Linked DNA regions of Lonchura striata. The protein of the gene in region 2 purifies or fractionates together with the protein of the main gene of each other region. This does not show direct contact. Links are inferred from orthologs where the notes say so. Each region holds a gene or a part of one and is shown on either strand. Other genes may lie near its edges. The genes, in order: CD36, FYN and SKAP1.

Region 1 (7,818 bases), on a different chromosome or scaffold from region 2:
CAGGGTGGAAGGTGAGAGACCTACATAGAGCTGGAGGTGGGAGGAGATTCTTGGAGAAGAAAACAGGGGTAAAAAGGAAGCACATGTAGAAAGGAAGGCAGAAGTCTGGCAACAAGCTGGAGGCTGCAGCTGTGAAAGGCACACAGGAAGCAATCAACAGGACTCCAAGAAGACCAAAGGTAGAACAACATTTACAGCATATGAGGACAGGTCAGAAAATATCCAGTTGAATGCAAATTTCAGGAATATTTTTTTTAATTCTTAAATTTTCCTCGTCACTTATTTTTTTGTCTAACTTTAGAGAAGCAGAAATTTCATCGGCTAAGAGGTTTATGTCATGCTGTGCCCCTTGAGTTACTACATATGGAGTTTTATAGCACCTGTCGTAATGACTCACCTCCAGGTCCCTGATAATCCTCTGGGGCAGCTGTTATCTTAAATATGAAAGCACTTGGCAGACAGGCTGATAACTTGCTTTTTGCTGTAACTTTCTGGAAGGAGGTCGTCAATAGGCTGTTCAAATAAAAAAATAATAATACCATGCTTAATTAATAATAATTTAATAATTTTAGAAAAGTATCAGCCCTGCTATGATAAAAGGATTTAGCAAAGATCCAAAAAGACAGGCAGAGGAGGCAATAGCCCTGCCACTTGTCCTAGATGTTTATTTAGACAACCAAATTCTGAAGGAAAGCCTGTGGAAATATTATAGAGCCCCATGAATTTTAACAGCTGTACTCACAGCTGGGATCCCTCATCCTGACCTGTCTCTCTGCTTGGTGTAAATAAACATAGTAAGCCCAAATCTGAAGAATTACCTCAATACGACATGTATTATCTGGCTTCCAGGACTTTGTGGGGATTAAATGGGATTAGTCTGTGTTTGCAAAGAGTTACTGCAAAGAGTCAATGGAACTTGCTCTGGGTTGGCAACAGGACCCAGTCCATTGCCTCCAAGTTCTGGGCTATTGCAGAGTCTGAAGGGACCAGAGGCAAAGGCTGGTCTTGAAAGGATTTCTTAGTATTGGTCTTGTAAAGCAAAAGTGTTGAGAAGGTATTATCTCGGGCTCAGAGGTTTCACAAGTCCTTATAACTTGAGACAGCTTACCTACAAGGGAGTTTAAAAGGCCTGTGCAACTTTCTGTTGTGGCTGATACAAGTTCAGCGGGGTGGTGGGGCACGGGGCAGCAGGGCTGCTTGGGGCTGATACAGCAGCTCTAATTTACTGTAAATTAGGAGGTAAATTTGCAGGCTCTTCTGCACCTCTGCAGTTCCTTGTGGCAAGAGTTGTGAGAGCAGCTCTCCCTCCATACAGGTACGTGATTCTGCTCCTGAGCTAGAGGCAGACTGAGCACACAGCTGGAAGTTGTAAAAACTTCTTGTAAGTGTATTGTTGCATCCTATAACTTACAAAGTGCTCCTAACTGCTAGTTATTGAAAGCAAAGAGAGATGTTATTGACTCTATTTCTTGACTGTCTATAAATCCAACAAAAGTCCATTCACTAAAATTTATAAAGAATAAGTATACTGGTAATCAAATTATTTAACTTGCTATCTTGATAATGTTGCATATATTGCTAATATTTCACTGTACATTGCAATTAGAAATAAATGTAATGAAACTAACAGCAAAAAATGTATTAATAATTTGCCTGTTAATCATTATCTTGTATATGAAAGTATATTATATAAACAACTAAATGCATACATTATAAAAATATGAGATGAGATATCAAGTTTGTGGCTGTATACATTTAATAACTGTGATATAAAGCAATAAATGAAAAATACTGTAATAATTATTCATTATGGAAATTGTATCATTATTAATTAGAGGAAAAAGCATATATATGCATTTCAGTGTAGTTTTAAGACTTTAATTTATGTGCATATGTACAAATATAAAATAATATATAATGTATAATAAATATGCTGATGTAATATAATTTCATTTATATATGGAAGTCCTGAGATCAACCCAATAAATATAGCATAATCATATGCTATTTTAATTATTTATTTTCTTGACAACTGACAAAATGGCTATAATTACTCAGTGAATTTTTTAATTTGGCAAAAATATCCTACTCATAAAAAAACGTGCAGTCTGTAGTTGCTTAGGTTGGGTTTTTTTCTGTGCTCAAGTGAGACTTCAAAAACATGTATATAATTGGCACAACCAGGAAAATGATCAGAAATGTAAGGGGTTTGGGTTAAATTGCTGTATTTTGCAACTACATTTTTTTTCTGTAACTGATAGTTATATGCATATTTCTGTAACATGTCTTCATCTGAAAGAATAATGCCATATTTAAGACTAAAAATTACATGATCTGAGAAGTTCAGGATATCTATTAATTCCTTCATTAATTTACTGCTAGTGCACAGAAATCACTTCTAGTACTTTTTCTACTGCTCTGTTCTTCATAGTGTTAATATTTCTCAGTAAACTGTGATATTACACAATTTTTCATAATCTCTGTAGATTTTCAGCTGCTGCCAAGGGATCTCCTGTGGCAAGGGTAATTTTATTTTTCAGTGTTGGGGTTTTTGTTTTGTGTCTGTGTGTGAATTATGTTTGAATCTTTTATTGTGGTAATTAAATATCTTCTCAAGAAAAATATGGAGAAAAGGAAAAAAAGTCCTTTTTTGTATCACAATAAATTTTTCTCTATTCCAGCCATCACTTCTGATTCCCTAAGTGGAATTGGCAGCTGCCCCAGGGTAGCTTCAGTCAAACTTTCTTCTTGTGCCTGATGAGGAGCAGGGCTTTTCCTAGCAGTAAGCTGATGGCTTGGCTTTGGTGTTTGAGGCTGGACTGAAGGCCCAGGGAAGAGCTTCTGTAAGTTGTTCAGACCAAGGACATGCTCCAGGTCTGGAACATGTAAACTGAAAGGTAAGGGTGTCAGTCATTTGACAGGTCTTCAGTACTTGAGAAATCACCAAGAAGTTGACCTTAAACTTAGGTCTTTACAACTGGAAAAATCCCCTGTACATATGTTGTTCCTAATTATTACAGAGACAAAATTACAGTGTAGCTGGTAGGCAAAAATTAACATAAGGACTACCCATTCAAAACCAGTGACATTGTCTGGGATGATTCATTATGGTGACTATTTCTCAACCAGGTATTGCACTAGTGAAAGATTTTAGAATTACTCCATTATTAAATGACTTCTGATCTAAGGAGAAGAGTTTTGCAAGAAGTGGAATATATCCAACTAGGGACAAGATTTGTTAAATTTCTCCTGGCTTTCAGAAGATGTTTGCTTTAAAATTTTTGTCTCTTGCCATTGGAGCCTCCTCTCTGTGCCCTCCTTGTGTTGTCTAAGACAAATTTTTTTCTCAGTAGCATTACCATATTACATTTCAGGGCCTGACTTGTTGCAAATGTCATAGACACAGGGAAGTAACAAAGATTGCGAAGAAGAATCTGCTATTGCAGGACACCAAAGATAAGAAGAAATTAAGAAAGCCAGCCTAACAATAATAGGATTGTAACACTGATGAGCACCAGGCCATCCAAGATAAGAAGTCATCTCAGCACAACTGAGAAATAGTCAAATACTAAACACTGAATATATTAGATAAGCAGAACATATAAAAATTAACAGCATATAAAGAATCCTTATCCTTTTTACTTGGGCTGATAACTTTGTGAATTCACCACACAATACCCATCTTTGTGCAAATATGAAATTTGAAATCCCTTGGCTCTGTGTGTGATTGGCTCACTGCACACTGGGTGATGAATTATAATTTTTGGGGCAACACTTATGTTTCAAAAACATTAATAGACCAACACAACCCTTTCAGTAAGAGATTTTCATAGACATTCACGGTTTGATACTCACAAGAAACTTTTATTATAATATTACAGTTTCTGTATTTGATTCTGTTTTAATAAGTTCCCTCCTATCTATCTGCTGAGTTAGTCTGACATAAACCCACAGGACTGGAAGAATCAGTCTGGTCTATCCCTGCTGCTCTTGGGATTTCTTCACCTAATCCCCCTGCTAGAATCACTTGAAAACAAATTTTAAAAGTGATTTTGAGGACTGAGAAAGGCAGTAGCTTATGCATGCCAAAAACAGTGAAGAGCCCAGAAGCAATATATCTAGGGGAAAAAACAACTTAAGCAATTTCTGGGTTTTCTATCACCCATTTTCCCCTTAAAGAGTTTCATTACAGTTTGACAGAGGAACTCATCAGTGGCAGGAGCCAAATATATCACACTGTTTCCAGTGTACTGCTGCCAAGCTGGCTTGAGCCACTGGTATTTTAGGATGTTTTTCCATATCGTCAGGACACATTGGGAACCACAAGGGACAGGACCTTAGATCCTAACACTTAACAGAGCTGGGAAAGATACGTCTGGGAGTCTCTGGTGGGTAATGAAGGAGCTACACAACAGTTTGATAAGAGTCTTCCAAGCTCTTGTGAAGAAAATAAGATATTAATGCATGTTGTGGAGGATACTTTTTTCAGGAGGTTGAAGAATGGCTGATATGAGTGGTTGGAGTATGACTCAGGGCATGCATTGGCAATCCTTGAAGGCCAACACAGCAGTGGTAAAATCTGTGATGTGAGCTGAGCAAAAAACCGTAATAACATGTCTGCAGTCTTTGTCCAAACTTTCCATTAATGCCAACTGGTAAATATTTTGGAGTTTTCTTCTTGAATTTTCTTTGTTTCATAACTTGTATGCATTTAGCAGAACCTTGTAGAGCTATTCTGGTACCATCAGTATGGTGCACTGATGAGGAGAGGAAATGAAAGACCTGTCTGGGGACTTTGAGTGGAATTGCTCTAACTTTAACATTCGAATCATTAGATGCCTAACTTAAGTCCATTGTTTAGATGCTTTGCAGTTAAAGGGGAGCCTTTAACTGCAGTACCTCTAAAAGATATGCACTCCCTGGAACTGTTCAAAAATAAATAGCTGTAGCACTTATGGTTTAGTGAACATGGTGGTACATGGTCAAAGGTTGGCAGTATTTTCCAGGCCTAATGATTGTATGATTGTATGATTCTATATAGTCTTGTCTAAGAAAATATTTCAAGTACATTCATCTCTAGTGAGAGGAAAGAAAATAAATTTTTCTCCAGATGCCTACTTTTAGCTGGGTAAGTTTATCGGTAACAAGTATTTGGAACTAACTTAAACAAGAAAAGAAAACAACATGAAACTATGCCCTTCTTTTATTTTAGAGCTGTATAGATAAGATAGTAAAAGGAATACTGAAACAACTAAGATATCTTTGTTCTTCCTTTATTTATGTAAAGTGACCTGACTTATAAAACTCTGTTCTATCCTATGGCTTTTGGAAAATCAGGTCACACAAAAGAACAGTCACTGTGAGAACAGATGAGACAGAAATAGTGAATGTGGAATTCAGGAATGATATTAGTTCTGTATTATTATTTTATTATTTTGTGTGTTTTTTATTCATGTTCTTTACTTGCAATACCTGAAGATACACGTCCACTCTAGAATGGCTCTTTTGAAGTAGAAGTGCAGTGAATTGTTGAATTTTCTCATGTACTATGTGATGATGTGATATACAGAAGGTTTTAATTTCTTTAGGAAATCAAATTAACTTTAATGGATACAAAATATCGATTAAAGTATCCCTATAAAGAAATACCTCTTAGTATCTCCAGTACACACAATAAGACAAAAGTCTCACCCAGCTCGTGGCATATTGCACACTTTTCTTTTTTCTCCTCCCAATGTTTCATTTGCATCATTCTCCTTCTCAGTAGAACTAAGGGCACATGGGTGAACACGACTGTGTGAATCAGAAATAACTTATTTGGGGACAGAAGCCATAGGTTATTTCTTTTTTTTTTTGTGCACGTGAAAAGTTTGTCTCCTTTTGAGGGGGGCAGGTTTAATTATTTAATCTTTCACTACTGAGCAAGATACAACCCTTCCTGTGGGACTTTCCCACTTCCTGTGAAGAAGCCAGAGGGTTACTGAGTGGTGACAACAGGATTTTCAGTAGAAATAATAGAAACCACTATTAGCATCATAAAATGATGCTAATAGTATAACCTGGATAAGCAATACATTTGTGCATTAATTTACCATGGAAAGCAGGTTAATATAATTTGTCTCAAAACCAGGGAGAGTACCCAAAAGCTTATAGAAAATCGTGTTTTAGATACTGAAAATATTAGCCTAATCTTTTGCCCCAGGGATTGGCATTTTACCTAACAATAACAGAGTAGGTTTTGTTGGATGTTTTTTAACAGTTAATGTCTTTAAAAAGTTCAGAGGGTGCAAAAGTAGAGACAGGATTTTCTTGGAGCTTTCTAATTTGCTTTCTAATGTCACCTAACATATGCTAACATTTCCACATCTGAAAAAGAATTAATGTTAACACTAGTTTTTATAAGATTCATAATAGGCAGTGGAAGAAAAATTCTAAGTGTAATAACTGGGAAACACAGGAATATAAACTCATGATGTGCTACACTGTGCAACAAAGAATTCCTACAGGAATGTGGGAATGTTTATGTAATCATCTTGAAAATTCAAATTGTATGTATACCATAAATGTATGTCTGATAGAATAGATCTTAATATTAAAAAAAAAAAAATGGAAAAGAAAAAGAAAGAGAAAGGGGGAGACAACCTATTTAGGAGTCTGAAGGCATGTAGGATAGCACCCCAAAGAAACTGTTTTCCAAAGGGCCTACTATGAGATATATACAAAAACTATAAATAACCCTCATCTCTTCAGCATTTTCTTGTAAGTAGTATGTTTCCTCCAGAAAATGTATGTGGACTTCATTTGGAAATAAAAATATCACTTCCCATTTTTGCATTCTGCAGTTTTCTGTGTCTTCATGAGGCATGTGAGTGTCATGTACTCTGTTTCTTCTTTTTGACTTTTCCTTGTGGAGCAGTTTGTTTGTGGTTGCACCACTAGGGACTATCATGAACTACACAGCTGTTTGGTTTCTGTGTCCTCCTTCTGTTGCTGTGTGTCTCTACTTTCTCCTCTGCAACCTCTGAACTCTAATATGAAGTCAAAGGACATAGGACCATTAAATACTTATGGTTTATTTCAGTTTGTTTTTAAGAAACAGGAATGACTGACATCCAAAAGTTTACATCTTCCCTTCCAGATTTCCATCCTTTTAGCTGGTTTCTGCAGTAGAACCAGGCAGTCCTCATTTCATTCCTCATTTCACTGCCAAGCACTGCTGCTGGAAGAGATTTTGCTTATGCAGGATGACAGTAGGATATTGTAAATCATAACATTGGGTGGTACAGCTGAGCATGCATATGTTGAAAACTGAACATCATTACGTCAACAGTAGCATATTCCAACAAAAAATCCCAGTAGATATTTTCCTCATGAAGGAAAATATCACTGACTTCCACACACTGCAAACAGAGAAAATGAGCATGGTAGGGAACCTCTCCACAGGGCAGTAGTGATCCCAAAAAAGAACATCCTCAGGAAACCATCCAAGGACGACATGTACAATAGAAACAATTACTGACAATAAAAGTAGTTCATGGTGAGCACAGTGTGGAGCAATGCTTAACTTTCAGTAGTTAAACTTCCCTTTTTAATCAGAAAATAGAGGAAAACAAGATTTCTGCACTTTTCAAGGATGAGAAACTGGAGTTATTCAGGGTCCTGAGCTTGCCCTGGCAGCAAGCCTTTTATTGAAAACTGCACAAAAAGTTGTTTTCAAATGACCAGTCTCACTTTCAGCCTTGCCTTCACTACTAGGAGGTGAAAACCTCACATTTATTAATTTTCATCCACCTTAGATTTACTTAGCAGAAATAGATT
Region 2 (8,202 bases):
TTTCCCTTGTGTCAATGTGTAGCCACAGAGTGCAAACACATCTGGAAATTATAAACATGGAAATTTAACTTTTAGAAAATGCATGATGATGCCATTTAAATATGCTGTTCTTACAGTTTAACACCTGATTTGTTGGTTTCGGAAAACACCTGTGTAGCGTCTGAGGAAACATCTCTTCCAATTTTTGTTTCTGGGATAGTCTAAAACAGTTAGAAAAGCAGGCTTGTATGGATGTAAATATTTGAGATTAGAGCCTCTACAGCAATAAGGAAGGCCTCTTCTGTTTATTCCTTAAAGACATAAGGTAAAGACGTTTCTTCTATACACTTGCTCCCACAAATTATCTACCCAATACACAAATGCCAAAACGCTCTTTTCCTAGCTCTGCCAATATCCTTCCTTCAGCTTCTGTGTATTAGTGTGACTATTGCTGATGAGCATGATGAAGAGCTCAGTTCAAACCTTCCCTTCTGCTTCCAGGTTGCTGTTCACACCTCAAAGATGTTGTCCCCAGGGAGGCAGACCTATCACCTCAGCATTCCCTGGCAGTAATCACCTGTGAGTCAGCAAGACCCATTTAGCACTCCCCAGTTGAAGCACCTCCTGAAAATACAGTGGGATGTTTGAGGCAAATGCTGTCAGCCTCCTAAAATACTGTAGGCAAGTTCAGATCCCTTTCCCCCCACCCCACTACTCTGTAATTATTTATAATATGCTATACATGACAGGCTGGTAAAATACACCCAGTCAAAACCAAAACAAATGGAAGTGTTGCCAAGTTAGCAATGTAAAAAGGGAGGAAGTGTAAGACAGAAGATAAAACGGTGAGGCAGATTAGTGACCTATCAGTCTGTGACTGGTGTATTGGTTTGAATGAAGAATTTAAGCATGATGTTTCTTTATCCCTATGAAAGGTAATCTCAATATTAAAATTTTTTATTAATTAAAAAAAAAAAAAAAGAAAAAATAAAGACACTATAACATTTAATACTTTGGGGATCTTTTAAATTACAAGTTCATTAGGATCTGACTTTTACAAATTATGGCTCAGAAGAATCCCAAATAATTCTGATGGTTATTCCTGAGAGTCAGCCTAGTTTTACCAAGAGTGGTTTGACACAACCAAGGAAACTGAACTGATGTTCTGCCCTGTTCTACAAAAGAGCTGCTTTTACATCTCCTTGCTATTACAGCTGTGAATATGTTTGGCTGCTCAAAATATTACCTTTAATTGAAAACTGTGGATATTATTTATTCAAATACAGTCATGATGGCTGTCACTGACTTCTTGCCCACCGACAAGTCCAAAAGACACTTGTGTGTAATTTTGTGACTGCTATCCTGTATTTCCAGATGCTAAATTATTAATACAAATAAATCCTAACCAGAATCTGTAATTTTCATATTGCTGTGAGAAGCCATGTATCTCTACAGGGAGATAGGAGCAGGAAATAGGAAGGAGAGGACAAAATCTTGACGTCACATTGTTCAGTACAGACGGCTGCACATTTAAGGTTTTGACAGTATTTCCATGAAAATGACTGATGGAGAAGCAGCATTTCAATGGATATTATTTCAATATTTTAATGAATAACTGTTTTAAAGTGAGTTTGGAGAAAGGAGAAAATAGTTTGGCATGAGGAGGAAGGCTACACAGATGAAGGTGGGAGAACACAGTGTCATGAACTTAAAGTATTTAGAAAAGTTGAGAGAAAAGAGTATAAAGAACTGTTCCTGTGTCACATAGGTAAATTTAATTATTCCTTCTGTTTAAGTGGGAGGTTAACTGCCAGGTTTTCTGGGTGATTCCTGAAGGCAAATATTGATACAGTCAAACCATGGTGCTGAGCACTAAAGAACAAGACTTGTGTGAGGCTGTGGGGACATGTGGGCTTGACTCACACAGAGGGAACACTCCAGCACGTCTCACCCCTGCCACCGGGGCTGCAGGAGCCTGCAGCAGCTTTGTGATCCCAAGGGAAGTATAGGTACCCTACAGGGCAAACCCAAGGCTTCATCCTATGCTTCCTATGCAACTACCAGCACTTGATTCCTGGCTCCACACCTTATTCCTCTTCAGCTATATAAGCTCAGAATCAGACTTTTGATGACATGCTGCTGAGCCAGTTTTTCTGCCCAGGTTTACAGCAGCCCTGTGGCTGCTGTGTGATGTTCTTTTGGTCTGCTTTCATTGATTAGTTGGTTACTTTCTACTTTGGCTCAAAAAAGAGTATCAAGTAGGTTTTTCTCTATCTTTTTTTCCTTCTTTGTGTCATTCTAGTTTTCATTCAGAGCAAGAGCATTCAAAATTCAGACAAAGATTCTTTATTCATGCCTTTTTGATTATAAAACGAAGTGCATTTCTGTCCTGTAGCTTTTGCAGAAAGAATACCTGGTTGTTTGATTAATTTCCAAGGTGCTTAAGGTCCCTAAGAAACCTCTATTGACTTGTGGGAGGTAAGATTATGTGTAAACCTATAAAAAAGGCAAACAAGGCATGCAAAAATGCCCCTTTCCCTAGAACCACATGCTGACTTTCTGCTGAGGAGCCTGGAGTATTAAGACACCATTTGCAGTCCTGATGGTCTCCAAGCTGGAAGTCCATAAATCTGCCCTGCCTCCAAACTGCTCTGATGAAGCTCTGCTCTGCATGGACTGGTACCTGCTGCCTGCTGCTGGCCCAATGGCTGCAGCCTGAACTCCTCAAAGTCTGCAGCATCATGATCCCAATGGGTGTTTCTGGGACAGGCATAATCAGACTTCTCCACCAAGCTGCAGTTTTCATCCAACAGGAAGAAAATGGAAAGTTGTTTTTTCAGTTGAGCTATACATTTCTACTCTTGTGTTGATTATACCATTTACATGGTAAAAGAAATAATTAAAATCTGCATAGAAGGATTAGGATGGAAACTAAAAATGACCTACCTAGAAACCTGAAAAAGTTGTTTCTTTGTACATCTACAATGAGATCTACACTTCTCATTAAAATGAGAAGTGACACAAGTGACATTTTATTTCATAATTCCCCGTCTCCTCCAAATTCTTTATGTGAACTTGTGGAACAAACTCTGCTTCATCCTGAAATGTAATGATCAAGAGTCACCTACACATAACCTACACAATCACCCAGAAAGAGAAAGGAAAATCTTTCTTGCTCTGAGCACCCAGCTGTAGACATCTTGATAAGAAACAAGTTTCTATTTGAACTTGTAAAACTGTAATTTCATCAGGAAATCAAATTGCCAAGATAAGATAGTTCTCTGGTTAAATACCAGCATACAAAAATGAAATTCAGAGAGAAGTGGGAGAGAAATGTAAACCTCATTTATTGAAAACTTGTGTTATAGTTCTCTCTGCTATTTCAACATACTTAATTTTCTCTCCCTCTGCTCTTGTATTTTGTATGTCTCTCCTTTTCTTGTTGAAGTCTAAACTGCAATTTCTTCAGTCCTAAGGCAGAAGAGCTTTCCAAGCCTAGGAGACAAGTGACAGTGAGATGTGCCAATCTGTCAGTATGGGAGCACTCAAGGTCACAGACGGGGCGGGGCGGTGCTGGGGAGAGGACCTGAAGCTGGAGCATGTGGTGCTTTCAATGGGCGTTGGAGGTGGATGCAACACCTTGAGAAACGCTGGGAGCAATTACGGCTGAGAACCTGAAGGGAAACAAAGTGTACAGAGAACTTTTCCAATCACCTGCCTGCGGAGCAGGGTGTCCCGTGACTGGAGGACAGGGCTGCCCGCACATCTTTGACTACAGTGCAAGACCGAAGCCCCAGCCGCGCTGTGGGGACAGCAGGTACACCCCTGAAAGAACAGCTTCGTGGGGTGACGCTCCTCCCACAACAGCTCGCTGAATACTCCGCGATTAAATGTGGAAAATGGAATAAAACCATAACTCTGGAAAACCTCCGCGTATATTTCATTATCGCCGTTGCCGTATCACCCACTATTGCCAATTTCAAGAATTACGGATGAAAAAAACCGTAATAGTAAAACAAGCCGTCGTTTTACACAAAGACGCATAATCTGTTTGGGATTGTTCTCCCATTCATCGGGGATGTTGAGACGCTCGGCTCACTCTTCCCTCCTCCTCCCGAGGCGCCCCAGCGGCGCGCGGAGCATCGCGAACCGCTCCGGCGCTGGCAGCTGCCGGTCGCGAACCTCTACACAGAGCGACAACCCCTCATCTCCTTCCTGCTCCCTCCTCTTCGCCCCCGGTCCCCTTCCTTTCCCAGCCCGCGTCCGCCTCCGTCACGGCCGCGCCGGGCGCCCGGAGCGGCGGCCGCTGCCCGGGGGCGTCCATGGGCGCTGCCCGCCCGCGGCCGCGCGCCCCGCCTCCCCCGCCGCCCGCCAATCAGAGCGGCGGCTGCTGCGGACCGCGCCTCGCCATTGGCCGCCGACGCTGTCAGTCAGGGGCCGCCCCCGCGGAGGGGCGAGGCGGGCGGGGGGGCAGCCGGCTCCGGGCGGGCGAGCGGGGCCGGGCGGCGGCGGCGCTGCGGTTGCGCCATCTGTCAGGAGCCCCGGTGGGAGGGAGCGCCCGAGCCGCGCTCGCCCGGGCGGAGCGGAGGCGGCGGCAGCAGCAGCAGCAGCAGCAGCAGCAGCATCAGCGCGGACAGCCCGTGCGAGCTCATCCCTGCCCAGGCTGCGGCTGTGCCGCCGCACGGAGTCGCCGCCTCCGCGCCCGGCCGCGGCTCGGCGCAGCGCGACTGCCCCGGGGAGAGGCAGCGGCGCCCGGAGCGGCGCCCCTCGCTGCGGGCGGGCGGGGGCAGCCGGCGGAGGAGCGGAGCGAGGAGGATGCGAGTGCGGCGGCGCCGCCCCGGCCCCGCGCTGCGCTGAGCCTAGCCGAGCCCAGCCGCCTCAGGTAACGGAGGGGCCGGAGCCCGCCCGGGGGAGCGGGAGCGGGGGCGGGGGGATGCCTGCCCGCATGGATGGATGGATGCTGCGGCGGGTCTGTTTCCTTTGTGCGCCCGAGCGCTGACGGGGTGCGGGGGCTCCCGGCGAGGGGAGGCGGCCGCGCTGCTGCGGGTCTCCCCCGCGCACGCACACGCGGACCCCGCGCCCGCCTCCCCCGCCGGGAGCCGCGGCCGCAGCGCGGGCAGGGCCGGGGGCGGCGCCCGCGACCGCCCGAGCGCGGCCCCTGCGTGCCCGCGGGTCGCCCGTGTCGGGGTCCCCGCCCCCGCGGACACCGGCCGGGGAGAGGGGAGGGGGCGCAGCACAGGGACGTATTTGTTGTCGCCGAACTGCGAAAAAGGGGCGGGGGGGAAATAAATAAAAAGACCTTCTCTCCCTCTGAAATAAATCGTATAGGATTTGCGCGTCTATGACAAAGGCCTCTTTCAGGGAAGAAAGAAGGGACGCACAAAATGCCCAAGGGTGGTAGGATGTGAAAAGAGGCTTGTTTCTTGTGTCTCCCCTAGAGCCTCTCTGTTCCTTCCCAGACGAGGCCGCTGATCTGGTGCCAGTTCCTTTTCAGCTACATTTGAGATTAGGGAGAGATACCAAACGCCACACCATGGGTGCCAGCGTTTTGCTGCGTCTGCAGAGCCACAGTGTACGTGTCGCCCGACCTCCTTAATATTGTTCAGTTTGGCCTCTGTTCCTCGGGATCGCGCCTGATTTCTGCTCTGTGTGGATTCTGCGTGTGCGTGAGCTCTGGGAGAGGGCTGGCCAAGGAAGGGGGTCACTTTGTGGGAGCGAGCCCATGATACCTTGGTCCGTTCAGCAGTGACGGGGAGGGCAGGGCTGAGTAGGTGCTGGTGGAGAAGGTTTGGGCTGAGTGGAAAGCAACCCTCTGCAGTTGCTCATCCATCACTCTGATATGCTCTGATTCTTAAAATGCTAAATAACCAGTGACCAGGGCGGACCGGGCTTTTGAAATGCATGCAAGACTGGGAACGCCTTTGAGACCTTGTCATTTTCCTCCTTGTATACAACCTCCTTAACTCCCACATCCTTCCTTCCACCATCCTTGCAGCTGTAACACTTTTTAGGATCCCACCCCACCTTTTTTTTTTTTTTTTTCTTTTTTTTTTTTTTTTCTTTTTCTTTTTGTCTTGATGTCTTTTTAACTAGCGTTCTGGAAGCTAAGAACAGTTTCAGGTGAGGATCTGTTTGTTTATATGCTGGTGGAGGAAGTGTTTTCATTAGGTTTGACTGGTCTGGTCTCCCATGAGGAGGAACAGTAAGCTAAAGGGACACTGTCAACTTGAAATGCAGAGAATGTGCGTGATGAATGGAGAGCTGTGTCCAATATTACACCCACCGTTGAGCTCCCTGCTGGAGATCTGTGGTTTTTGTAAGCCTGTCTTCTGATTGTGTGGGTTGGTCATGCAGTGAAGGAGTAAAAACACACTTCAAACAAAGTTCTGTTAAGTGAACAAAGGAGTGCAGAAGAAAAATACCAGAGTGGGAAGGGAGGGAAGGCAACATCTCCAACTTCTCAGTTACATCCATTTTAGCCACTGCTTGACCCAGTGGGAAACTGGAGGGGCTACAGTTCATTTTTGCAGTTGCACATTTATTTAGTATCACTAAAGTGGAAAGGTTGTTACCTTTGCCCCAGTGATTCAGGAGTTTTCAGCACCTTGATGTGTGTGCTCAGAAAGCTGGTAGCACTTGATGGATGTCAGTAGGTCAGTGTCATTTCACAATATAAGAACATTTTAAGAATGGTATCTCTTGTGAAAAAGATACTGGTTACCTTCTTGAGCCCTTTTAACCCCAAAAAGCTATAATTTTGATGAAAAAGAGAAAGAAAGATAGCCTAATTAATGCTTTAGAAACTTGTATTTTGTTGATTCTAGACTGCAGATTTGTTGAAATGTTCAGATACTTAAAGGGTTGCCTGTAAGCATCCTTCCTCTCCACCTCCAACAAATTACTGCCTCCTCTGCATGGCTTGTCTTTGGCAAAATAAATAACTTTCAGTATGAAGTTGTCTGATGGTAGGCCACTGGCTGTGGTGTTTTGTGGTCTATGCGTCAGGCATGTTGTTTCAGAAATTCTATGTTGCCTGCTGGTGAAAGACATAGTGGCATAAAGTACCAGTTAAGTATAAAACCCTGAACAGCTTTCTCTGGAAATTATTTTGGTATTGAGTAAGTACGTGTCTTCAGTGAGGGACAAATGACTTTGGCATATGGGCATGGCAGTCAGTGTAAGCCAGAAATGAGTAAGGTGGTATAAAAAAGTTGATTATTAATCATTTTAACAAGTGTCTTTAAAAGTTAGGACCCAGTGATAAATTTCTAATTCATATGAGTAAGAAAAAATTGCTGGGGAACTAGTTATTTTTGACAGACTGATATAGATTCCACAATACTGTTATGTGAAATAGTTAAATGGTGTCATCTGAAATCATAAGTGGAGTCTGATATGGTGAGGGTGTCTGTGACCACTGGCCCTGTGGCTCAGCTGAATATACTAATCTGGACATGGTATCATTGGCACTGATTTACAGTTGAATAAAATTGTGGCTAAGGTGAGCGAAAACTGTCCAGCACATTTGTGATGATTTCACACTGTAATATGGTACATCTACAATATCATATGATTAATTGTCTTAAGCAAAGTATAGAGCTATTTGCCATCTTATGCCCAATTACTTTTATTTAACAGCACCTTCACTTTTCTGTCTTGCTGCATGACTGTGCTTTTACTTCAGGGAGAAAAAGTGTTGGAGCCATGTGTTTTCCCTTCGTCCTTCTCTCTGGGGTGCACATTAATATTTGATTCAAACTTGTTCTGTAAAGTTCTGCTTAATTCAGTTTGGGCACTACTTTGAATGTATAATAATGGTGTTTGCTTGTGTCATGGACAGTGCTTTGTAATTTGCTTTATGGGCAAGTCTGCTGCTGGCAGTGTGTATTGTCAAAGTGACCTTCCTTTCAGAGGGAGAAAACCAGTAACTCCTGGCCCTCTCCCACCCCTGCAGCTCCCACAGAAGTGTCTTCACAAGTTGCTTTGACCCATTACTCCAAAAACAGGACTTGAACTGACAAATCTAGTTCACTCGAGCAGTCTCATTGAAATCCAGCAATTAAGGATTCCTTTGGTGACAAAAGGCCTACGGATCTGTATTGTGCAAGTCAGCCATTTACTTGAGGCGAAACCCACAAAAGGGTTTGCGTGCCTCAGTGAGGAGCACCCTGAGCTGTGGAGCCTGTAGATGTGGCTCTCCTTTGCCGGGGCTGTGGCTGCTTG
Region 3 (8,387 bases), on a different chromosome or scaffold from region 2:
AAATTACTTTTTTAATTCCGAGCAGCTGCTGCGGCTCCGATGGAATTCTGCTGGGCTCCAGGGACGGCTTTTCATCTTCCCTGGCCGGGAATGCAGCTCAAAATCCAGGAATTTCGGATTTTTATGGAATTCAGAGGGAATTCTCCCCACTTTTCCACCGGCCAGGCCTGGTTCTGAGGGAATCCTGAACATCCCAAATCCCAGATTTCTGCTTCCCGCTCTTATCCCTCCAAAATTCCGATTTTTGACGCCCTTTCCATGCGTTTTGAGGAGTCGGGCCCGGAAAGTGGAACCAGGCTTTGCTTTTAACAAAACCCTCCCGGCATCACGGAATATTCCCCGCCGGAAACTCCGACCCCAGCGATCACCCAAACCCCAAAAATTCCCATGGGAAGCTCCTCCCGGCAGGAATTTTTTCCTGTCAGGAGGCACGGAGCAGAAATTCCGTGGGAATAAAGATTTCACCTCCCACAAAATCGGGGTTTTCTTTGAGCCAGGTTTATTTTTTTTTGGAGATTTGGGAACGCCCTCCTGGGCTCAGGATTGGGATTTTTCCGGCGGGATGAGGCCAAAATTTGGGAATTTGGAGTCAGAACCCCAAATCTGCCCCGAATTCCCTCAGCCTGGGCCTGCTCTCCCTGCTCCCACAGGGAAGGGGAGGAGAGATTCCCTGGGGAATTCCCAGCTTTATTATCCATATTTTCCATATTCCCTGTATTTCCCAGCTTTCCCAGCTTTATTATCCACAATTTCTATATTCCCCATATTTCTCAGCTTTCCCTGCCTTCCCCACTTTCCCAGCTTTATTATCCATGTTTTCCATATTCCCCAGTTTTCCCAGCTTTCCCAGCTTTATTATCAATATTCCCTGTATTCCTCAGCTTTTCCAGCTTTTCCAGCTTTATTATCCACATTTTCCATATTCCCCGTATTTCCCAGCTTTCCCAGCTTTATTATTCATATTTTCCATATTCCCCGTATTCCTTGTATTTCCCAGCTTTTCCAGCTTTATTATCCATATTTTCCATATTCCCCGTATTCCTTGTATTTCCCAGCTTTTCCAGCTTTATTATCCATATTTTCCATATTCCCCATATTTCTCAGTTTTCCCAGCTTTATTATCCATATTTTCCATATTCCCTGTATTCCCCATATTTCCCAGCTTTCCCAGCTGTCCCAGCTTTTCCATATTTTTCATATTTCCCAGCTTTTCCATATTTCCCAGCTTTTCTAGCTTTCCCAGCTTTTCTAGCTTTTCTAACTTTTCCATGGAACACTGGCCTGGCCTTTCCCAGCCCTTTTCCAGTCTGGAATTTCCATAGAACGTTGGCCTGGCCTTTCCCAGCCCTTTTCCAGCCTGGAATTTCCATGGAATGCTGGCCTGGCCTTTCCCAATCCCGGGGCCAGGAGCTGCGGAATTCCAGCGCCATGGAATGGTTTGGGTGGGAAGGAGCTGGAATTCCACCCAGCCCCATCCAGGGACAATTCCAGCCTGGCCCGAGGCAATTCCTGGGACAATTCTGGGACAGATTCCCTGGAAATTCCAGCCCAGCCCATTGCAGGGAGCAATTGTTGGGAAAAACAATCCTAAAAGGCATCAGGGTTTGATTCCATCCCAAACCCTGAGCAGGGCTGTCCTTTAGGAATTCCCCACTGGATTCAATCCCAAATTCTGAGCAGGGCTGTCCTTCTCTCATTTCCCCCCCAATATTCCCAATATTCCCAGTGGGACCAAGGCTCTGCCTCTCCCATTTTCCTCCTGATATTCCCAATATTCCCAGTGGAAACAGGGCTCTGCTTCTCCCATTTTCCCTCCAATATTCCCAGTGGGAACAGGGCTCTGCCTCTCCCATTTCCCCCCCAATTTTCCCCAATATTCCTGATAGGAAAAGGGCTCTGCTTCTCTTGTTTTCCCCCCGATATTCCCAATATTCCCAGTGGGAACAGGGCTCTTCCTCTCCCATTTTCCCCCCAATTTTCCCAAATATTCCCGATATTCCTGACATTCCCAACAGGACCAGGGCTCTGCCTCTCCCGTTTTCCCCCCAATTTTCCCAAATATTCCCGATATTCCTGACATTCCCAACAGGACCAGGGCTCTGCCTCTCCCGTTTCCCCCCAAATATTCCCGATATTCCCGACATTCCTGACAGGACCGGGGCTCTGCCTCTCCGTTTTCCCAGCTCCGTTTCCATGGTTACTCCCAATCCCGCCTCCGTTTTTCGGGAAATCGCATTTCCCAAGGATGCCAGCCGGGCTCAGCCGGGCCCTGCGAGGATCCAGGTGGGAATTTTCTCCCGTGGGGAGGAGGTTTTGAATCCGGAATCCCCAAATTTGGGATGCTGCGGGCACAGGACGGTGCCAGGCTCCCCCCTCTCCTTCCCAGCTGACCCCAAAGCCAAATCTGTGACCGTTCCAAAATCCAAAAATTGAAGTGGTGAGGAAAAAGAGGGAAGGAAAAAAAAAAAAAAAGGTCATTTCCTTGGAAATTGGGAAAATCCTTTCCCTGAGACCCTACCTGAGATATTTTTATTTTCTGTTATTTTTATTTCCTGCCTTTAATTCCCTAAATCCCACCTCAGGAGACCCTACCTGGCCAGGAGATTTGAGGAGCAGCTTTTGACAGGGAAAAAAATCCAAAATTATCTCCCAAAAAAGGTTTGGAAATCCTTAAATCCCAACCATACCTGTCAGGGAGATTTGAGGAGCAGCTTTTGACAGGGAAAAAATCCAAAATTATCTCCCAAAAAAGGCTCCTAAATCCCTAAATCCCAACCATACCTGTCAGGGAGATTTGAGGAGCAGCTTTTGACAGGGAAAAAATCCAAAATTTTTCCAGAGAAAAGGCTCAGAATTCCCTAAATTTGAGCCCCACCTGGACAGGACATTTGAGGAGCAGCTTTTGACAAGGAAAAACCCAAATTTTGCCCCAAAAAAGGCTCAGAATTTCCTAAATCCCAACCATACCCAGCCAGGACATTTGAGGAGCAGCTTTTGACAAGGAAAAACCCAAATTTTGCCCCAAAAAAGGCTCAGAATTTCCTAAATCCCAACCATACCCAGCCAGGACATTTGAGGAGCAGCTTTTGACAAGGAAAAACCCAAATTTTGCCCCAAAAAAGGCTCAGAATTTCCTAAATCCCAACCATACCCAGCCAGGACATTTGAGGAGCAGCTTTTGACAAGGAAAAACCCAAATTTTGCCCCAAAAAAGGCTCAGAATTTCCTAAATCCCAACCATACCCAGCCAGGACATTTGAGGAGCAGCTTTTGACAAGGAAAAACCCAAATTTTGCCCCAAAAAAGGCTCGAGGCCCCCCAAAGGCCAGCGGAGCGGCTCCTGTGATATTCGGATTTTCCACCTCTGCTCGGGGCCCCCGGGCTGCGTTTCCTGTGTTCGAGGCCTCAGCATCCGCTGCCAAATCTCCATTTTTGGGGCCGTTTCGGTGCTAAAGCTGGGCCGGGCTGCAGGGGGGAGGGGCAAACCCTGATTTTCCCACCCGGCACAGAAAGGGTTAAAAAAATCCGTTGGGAAATGCCGGGTGGGAAAGTTTGGGAATGACGTGGCAGCGACAGCTCCGAGGTTTTGGGTCCCAGATCTGGAGAATCCCCCGGTGCTCCCTCTGTCCCCAAAGGAAAAAAAAACCCCAAAATCCCAAAATCCAAAAAAATCCAGCAGGGAATTTTCATGGAAATTTGCCTTTTGTGGGCCCTTCTCCGTAAAATCACCCTCCTTGAAAAACGGGATTGCTGAGGTGCAAATCCCAACCCAAAATGGCCCCAAAATATCCCCAAAAGGACTCTGGAGCTGCTTTGGGGTTTCTCCTTCGGCTCCACGACCCCAAATCCCGACCCCAAAAACTCGGGATCCCCCCGGCACCTGCTCCTTGTCTGCTTTGTGCTGAGAAATGAAAAAGAAATTGAATTTTTTCCTTTATTTCTTGGAAAAGCAGGGCCCAAAACACCCGGGAGCACCTGGAGGAGCAGCTCTGGATTTCCAGGAGTATTTCCATGTGGAAATTTCCAAATTTAGAAGTATCTTTCCCGTATTTCCACATGGAAATTTCTGAATTTCCAGGGATATTTCCCACATTTCCCTATGGAGGAGCATCTCCATATTTCCGTGGATATTTTCCATATTTCCACATAGAAATCTCCAAATTTCCAGGGATATTTCCCACATTTCCTTATGGAGGAAATCTCAATGTTTTCAGGAGTATTTCCTTTCAGAAATCTCCCACATTTCCAGGAGTTTTTCCATCTTTTCCCTATCCCAGGTGATTTTTTTTCCCAACCCAACCTCTTTTCCACGCAGAAAATGGGAAAAGGGGAAATCTCATCCCAGATCATCCCCTTTTTTCCACCATTGGAATTTTTGGGGTGGCAAACCTGGAAAAAATCCCAGTTTTGGGGGCAGGAACAGCCCCAGGGAAACTCCAGATGAGCTCTGGGAGGAAATTCCAGCCGGGAATTCCAATTCAGCTTTTCCTCTCTGGAATTTTTGGGGTGGCAAACCTGGAAAAATCCCAATTTTTCGGGCAGGAACAGCGCGAGGAAGCTCCGGGAGGAAATTCCAGCCGGGAATTCCAGGCGGAGCTCCTTGGCTGGAGTTCAGCTTTCCCCACCGGAATTTTTGGGATGGCCCAGGACAGCTGGGAAGGATCCCGGGGATCCGCTGGGGTTGAAGGCGAGGAGGAGGAAGCCAAACCCCAAAGGTTCCTCCTCGTTTTTGGGGTGTCCCCGCCCTCGCGGCTTCCTCCCCGTCACCCCAGAGCCGGCGCGGCCCCGGTGGGACGCGATCCCGAGGATCCCGAGGATCCCGTGGATCCCGTGGAGGATCCCATGGATGCCATGGACGCCCCGATCCCAGAGGAGATCCGGCGGCTCCTGGAAGGTGACGGATCCCTCCTCGCCCCGTGGGCAGCGCGCTGGGGCTGGCCGGGGTTGGGGTGGCTTTTCTGGGCACCTTTGGGCTCTTCAGGGGTCCTGGGACCTCCCCGGCCCTGACCCCAAAATTTGGGGGCTGTGGGGCCTCCCTGATCCCAAAAATTTGGGGGTTGTGGGGCCTCCCTGATCCCAAAAATTTGGGGGTTGTGGGGCCTCCCTGACCCAAAAATTTGGGGGTTGTAGGGCCTCCCTGATCCCAAAAATTTGGGGATTGTGGGGCCTCTGTGACCCCAAAAATTTGGGGGTTGTAGGGCCTCTGTGACCCCAAAATATGGGGGTTGTGGGGCCTCTGTGACCCCAAAATTTGGGGGTTGTGGGGCCTCCCTGACCCAAAAGTTTGGGGATTGTGGGGCCTCCCTGATCCCAAAATTTGGGGGTTGTAGGGCCTCTGTGACCCCAAAAATTTGGGGGTTGTGGGGCCTCCCTGACCCAAAAATTTAGGGGTTGTAGGGCCTCTGTGACCCCAAAAATTTGGGGGTTGTGGAGCCTCCCTGACCCAAAAATTTGGGGGTTGTGGGGCCTCCCTGACCCAAAAATTTGGGGGTTGTAGGGCCTCTGTGACCCCAAAAATTTGGGGGTTGTGGGGCCTCCCTGACCCAAAAATTTGGGGGTTGTAGGGCCTCTGTGACCCCAAAATTTGGGGGTTGTAGGGCCTCCCTGACCCAAAAATTTGGGGGTTGTGGGGCCTCCCTGACCCCAAAATTTGGAGGTTGTGGGGCCTCCCTGACCCAAAAATTTGGGGATTGTAGGGCCTCTGTGACCCCAAAATTTGGGGGTTGTAGGGCCTCTGTGACCCCAAAAATTTGGGGGTTGTGGGGCCTCCCTGACCCAAAAATTTGGGGGTTGTGGGGCCTCCCTGATCCCAAAAATTTGGGGGTTGTGGGGCCTCCCTGACCCAAAAATTTGGGGGTTGTGGGGCCTCCCTGACCCAAAAATTTGGGGATTGTAGGGCCTCTGTGACCCCAAAATTTGGGGGTTGTGGGGCCTCTGTGACCCCAAAATTTGGGGGTTGTAGGGCCTCTGTGACCCCAAAAGCTTGGGGGTTGTGGGGCCTCCCTGACCCAAAAATTTGGGGATTGTGGGGCCTCCCTGATCCCAAAAATTTGGGGGTTGTGGGGGCTCTGTAACCCCAAAAATTTGGGGGTTGTAGGGCCTCTGTGACCCCAAAATTTGGGGGTTGTGGGGCCTCCCTGACCCAAAAATTTGGGGGTTGTAGGGCCTCTGTGACCCCAAAAATTTGGGGATTGTGGGGCCTCCCTGATCCCAAAAATTTGGGGGTTGTGGGGCCTCCCTGACCCAAAAATTTGGGGGCTGTGGGGCCTCCCTGACCCAAAAATTTGGGGGTTGTAGGGCCTCTGTGACCCCAAAAATTTGGGGATTGTGGGGCCTCCCTGATCCCAAAAATTTGGGGGTTGTGGGGCCTCCCTGACCCAAAAATTTGGGGGCTGTGGGGCCTCTGTGACCCCAAAAATTTGGGGGCTGTGGGGCCTCTGTGACCCCAAAAGCTTGGGGGTTGTGGGGCCTCCCTGACCCAAAAATTTGGGGGCTGTGGGGCCTCTGTGACCCCAAAAATTTGGGGGTTGTGGGGCCTCTGTGACCCCAAAAATTTGGGGATTGTGGGGCCTCCCTGACCCAAAAATTTGGGGGTTGTGGGGGCTCTGTGACACCAAAAATTTGGGGGTTGTAGGGCCTCTGTGACCCCAAAATTTGGGGGTTGTGGGGCCTCCCTGATCCCAAAAATTTGGGGGTTGTAGGGCCTCTGTGACCCCAAAAATTTGGGGGCTGTGGGGCCTCCCTGGCCCTGACCCCCAGGAGAATTTGGGGGTGACCTTGAGGAGAATTTTGGGATTGTGGGGCCTCCCTGACCTCAGACATTCCCAGATTTCCTGAACCCTTTCCCATTCCCAGATTTCCTGCCCCTTCCCAGGCCCAGCTTTCTTTCCCAGGTCCAGATTTCCTAAACCCTTTCCCAGCTTTCTTCTCCCTTCCCAGATTTCCTAAACCCTTTCCCAGATCCAGGTTTCCTGACTGTTCCCAAGTTTCCTAAACCCCTTCCCGGTTTCCTAAATCGCATTCCCAGTTTTCCTAAATCCTTTCCCAAACCCACTTTCTGTCTCCAAGGCCATGTATCCCTGATTTTCCTGCCATTCCTGGATTTCCTGCCCTTCCCAAATTTTCTAAATCCCTTTCCCAGTTTTGTTCCCCTTCCCAAACCCACTTTCCCTCTCCACGATTTTCCCAGCCGTTCCCACATTTCCTTCCCCTTCCACATCCATTTTCCCTCTCCAAGGCCGCGTATCCCCAATTTCCCCATTCCCATTCCCGGATTTCCTTCCCCTTCCCACCCCCATTTCCCCCTCCAAGGCCGCCTATCCCATTTTTCCCATTCCCACATTTCCTTCCCCTTCCCACCCCCATTTCCCCCTCCAAGGCCGCCTATCCCATTTTTCCCATTCCCGGATTTCCTTCCCCTTCCCAATCCCATTTCCCCCTCCAAGGCCGCCTATCCCACTTTTCCCATTCCCATTCCCGGATTTCCTTCCCCTTCCCACCCCCATTTCCCCCTCCAAGGCCGCGTATCCCACTGTTCCCATTCCCATTCCCGGATTTCCTTCCCCTTCCCACCCCCATTTCCCCTCTCCAAGGCCGCGTATCCCGCTGTTCCCATTCCCATTCCCGGATTTCCTTCCCCTTCCCACCCCCATTTCCCCTCTCCAAGGCCGCCTATCCCGCTGTTCCCATCCCCATTCCCACATTTCCTTCCCCTTCCCACCCCCATTTCCCCCTCCAAGGCCGCCTATCCCGCTGTTCCCATTCCCATTCCCGGATTTCCTTCCCCTTCCCAATCCCATTTCCCCTCTCCAAGGCCGCCTATCCCATTTTTCCCATTCCCGGATTTCCTTCCCCTTCCCAATCCCATTTCCCCGTCCAAGGCCGCCTATCCCGCTGTTCCCATTCCCATTCCCGGATTTCCTTCCCCTTCCCACCCCCATTTCCCCCTCCAAGGCCGCCTATCCCGCTGTTGCCATTCCCATTCCCGCTTTTCCAGAGGCTGAGGCTTTCCTGGGCCGGGCTCTGCGGGAGGAGGCGCTGAGCGCGCGGGCGCGGGAGCAGCGCGACGCCGTCCTGGGCTCCTTCCAGCGCCTCCGAGCCAGGTGGGATCCCCCGGAATTCCCGCTCCAGATCCTGGAATTCCAGCAGGGTCTGGGATTCCTCCTTCTGCTGCAGCTCCCCCATGTTTGGAATTTGATGGATATTCCAGGCTCGGGATAACGGAGAATCCTGGGGAGTTGTCGTTGGGTTTGGTTGGATTTTCTCTGGTTTAGGATGGGGATTTTCCCCTCTTTTTTAGGTGGAATTTAGGATGGAATTTTGTGATATTCCCTATTTATTCCCTAATTTCAGGATGGGTTTTCCCCTATTTTTAAAGGAAGGAATTC

Evidence for each region.
Region 1: the proteins of FYN (region 2) and CD36 purify together in Homo sapiens (affinity purification with western blotting; 3 studies listed by BioGRID). This does not show direct contact. The link is inferred for Lonchura striata from reciprocal best matches to the Homo sapiens genes FYN and CD36.
Region 3: the proteins of FYN (region 2) and SKAP1 purify together in Homo sapiens (affinity purification with western blotting; 3 studies listed by BioGRID and IntAct, with this or other methods). This does not show direct contact. The link is inferred for Lonchura striata from reciprocal best matches to the Homo sapiens genes FYN and SKAP1.

What each region holds. Positions count from the first base shown.
Region 1 is NC_134607.1:62,608,929-62,616,746, forward strand, and holds the start of CD36 (platelet glycoprotein 4), read left to right. Parts: upstream 1-4,302; 5' UTR 4,303-4,388; intron 4,389-7,818.
Region 2 is NC_134605.1:68,271,605-68,279,806, forward strand, and holds the start of FYN (tyrosine-protein kinase Fyn), read left to right. Parts: upstream 1-4,502; 5' UTR 4,503-4,861; intron 4,862-8,202. UniProt on the Homo sapiens protein: Non-receptor tyrosine-protein kinase that plays a role in many biological processes including regulation of cell growth and survival, cell adhesion, integrin-mediated signaling, cytoskeletal remodeling, cell motility, immune response and axon guidance.
Region 3 is NC_134627.1:8,231,866-8,240,252, forward strand, and holds the start of SKAP1 (src kinase-associated phosphoprotein 1), read left to right. Parts: upstream 1-4,851; coding exon 4,852-4,894; intron 4,895-7,996; coding exon 7,997-8,102; intron 8,103-8,387. UniProt on the Homo sapiens protein: Positively regulates T-cell receptor signaling by enhancing the MAP kinase pathway. Required for optimal conjugation between T-cells and antigen-presenting cells by promoting the clustering of integrin ITGAL on the surface of T-cells.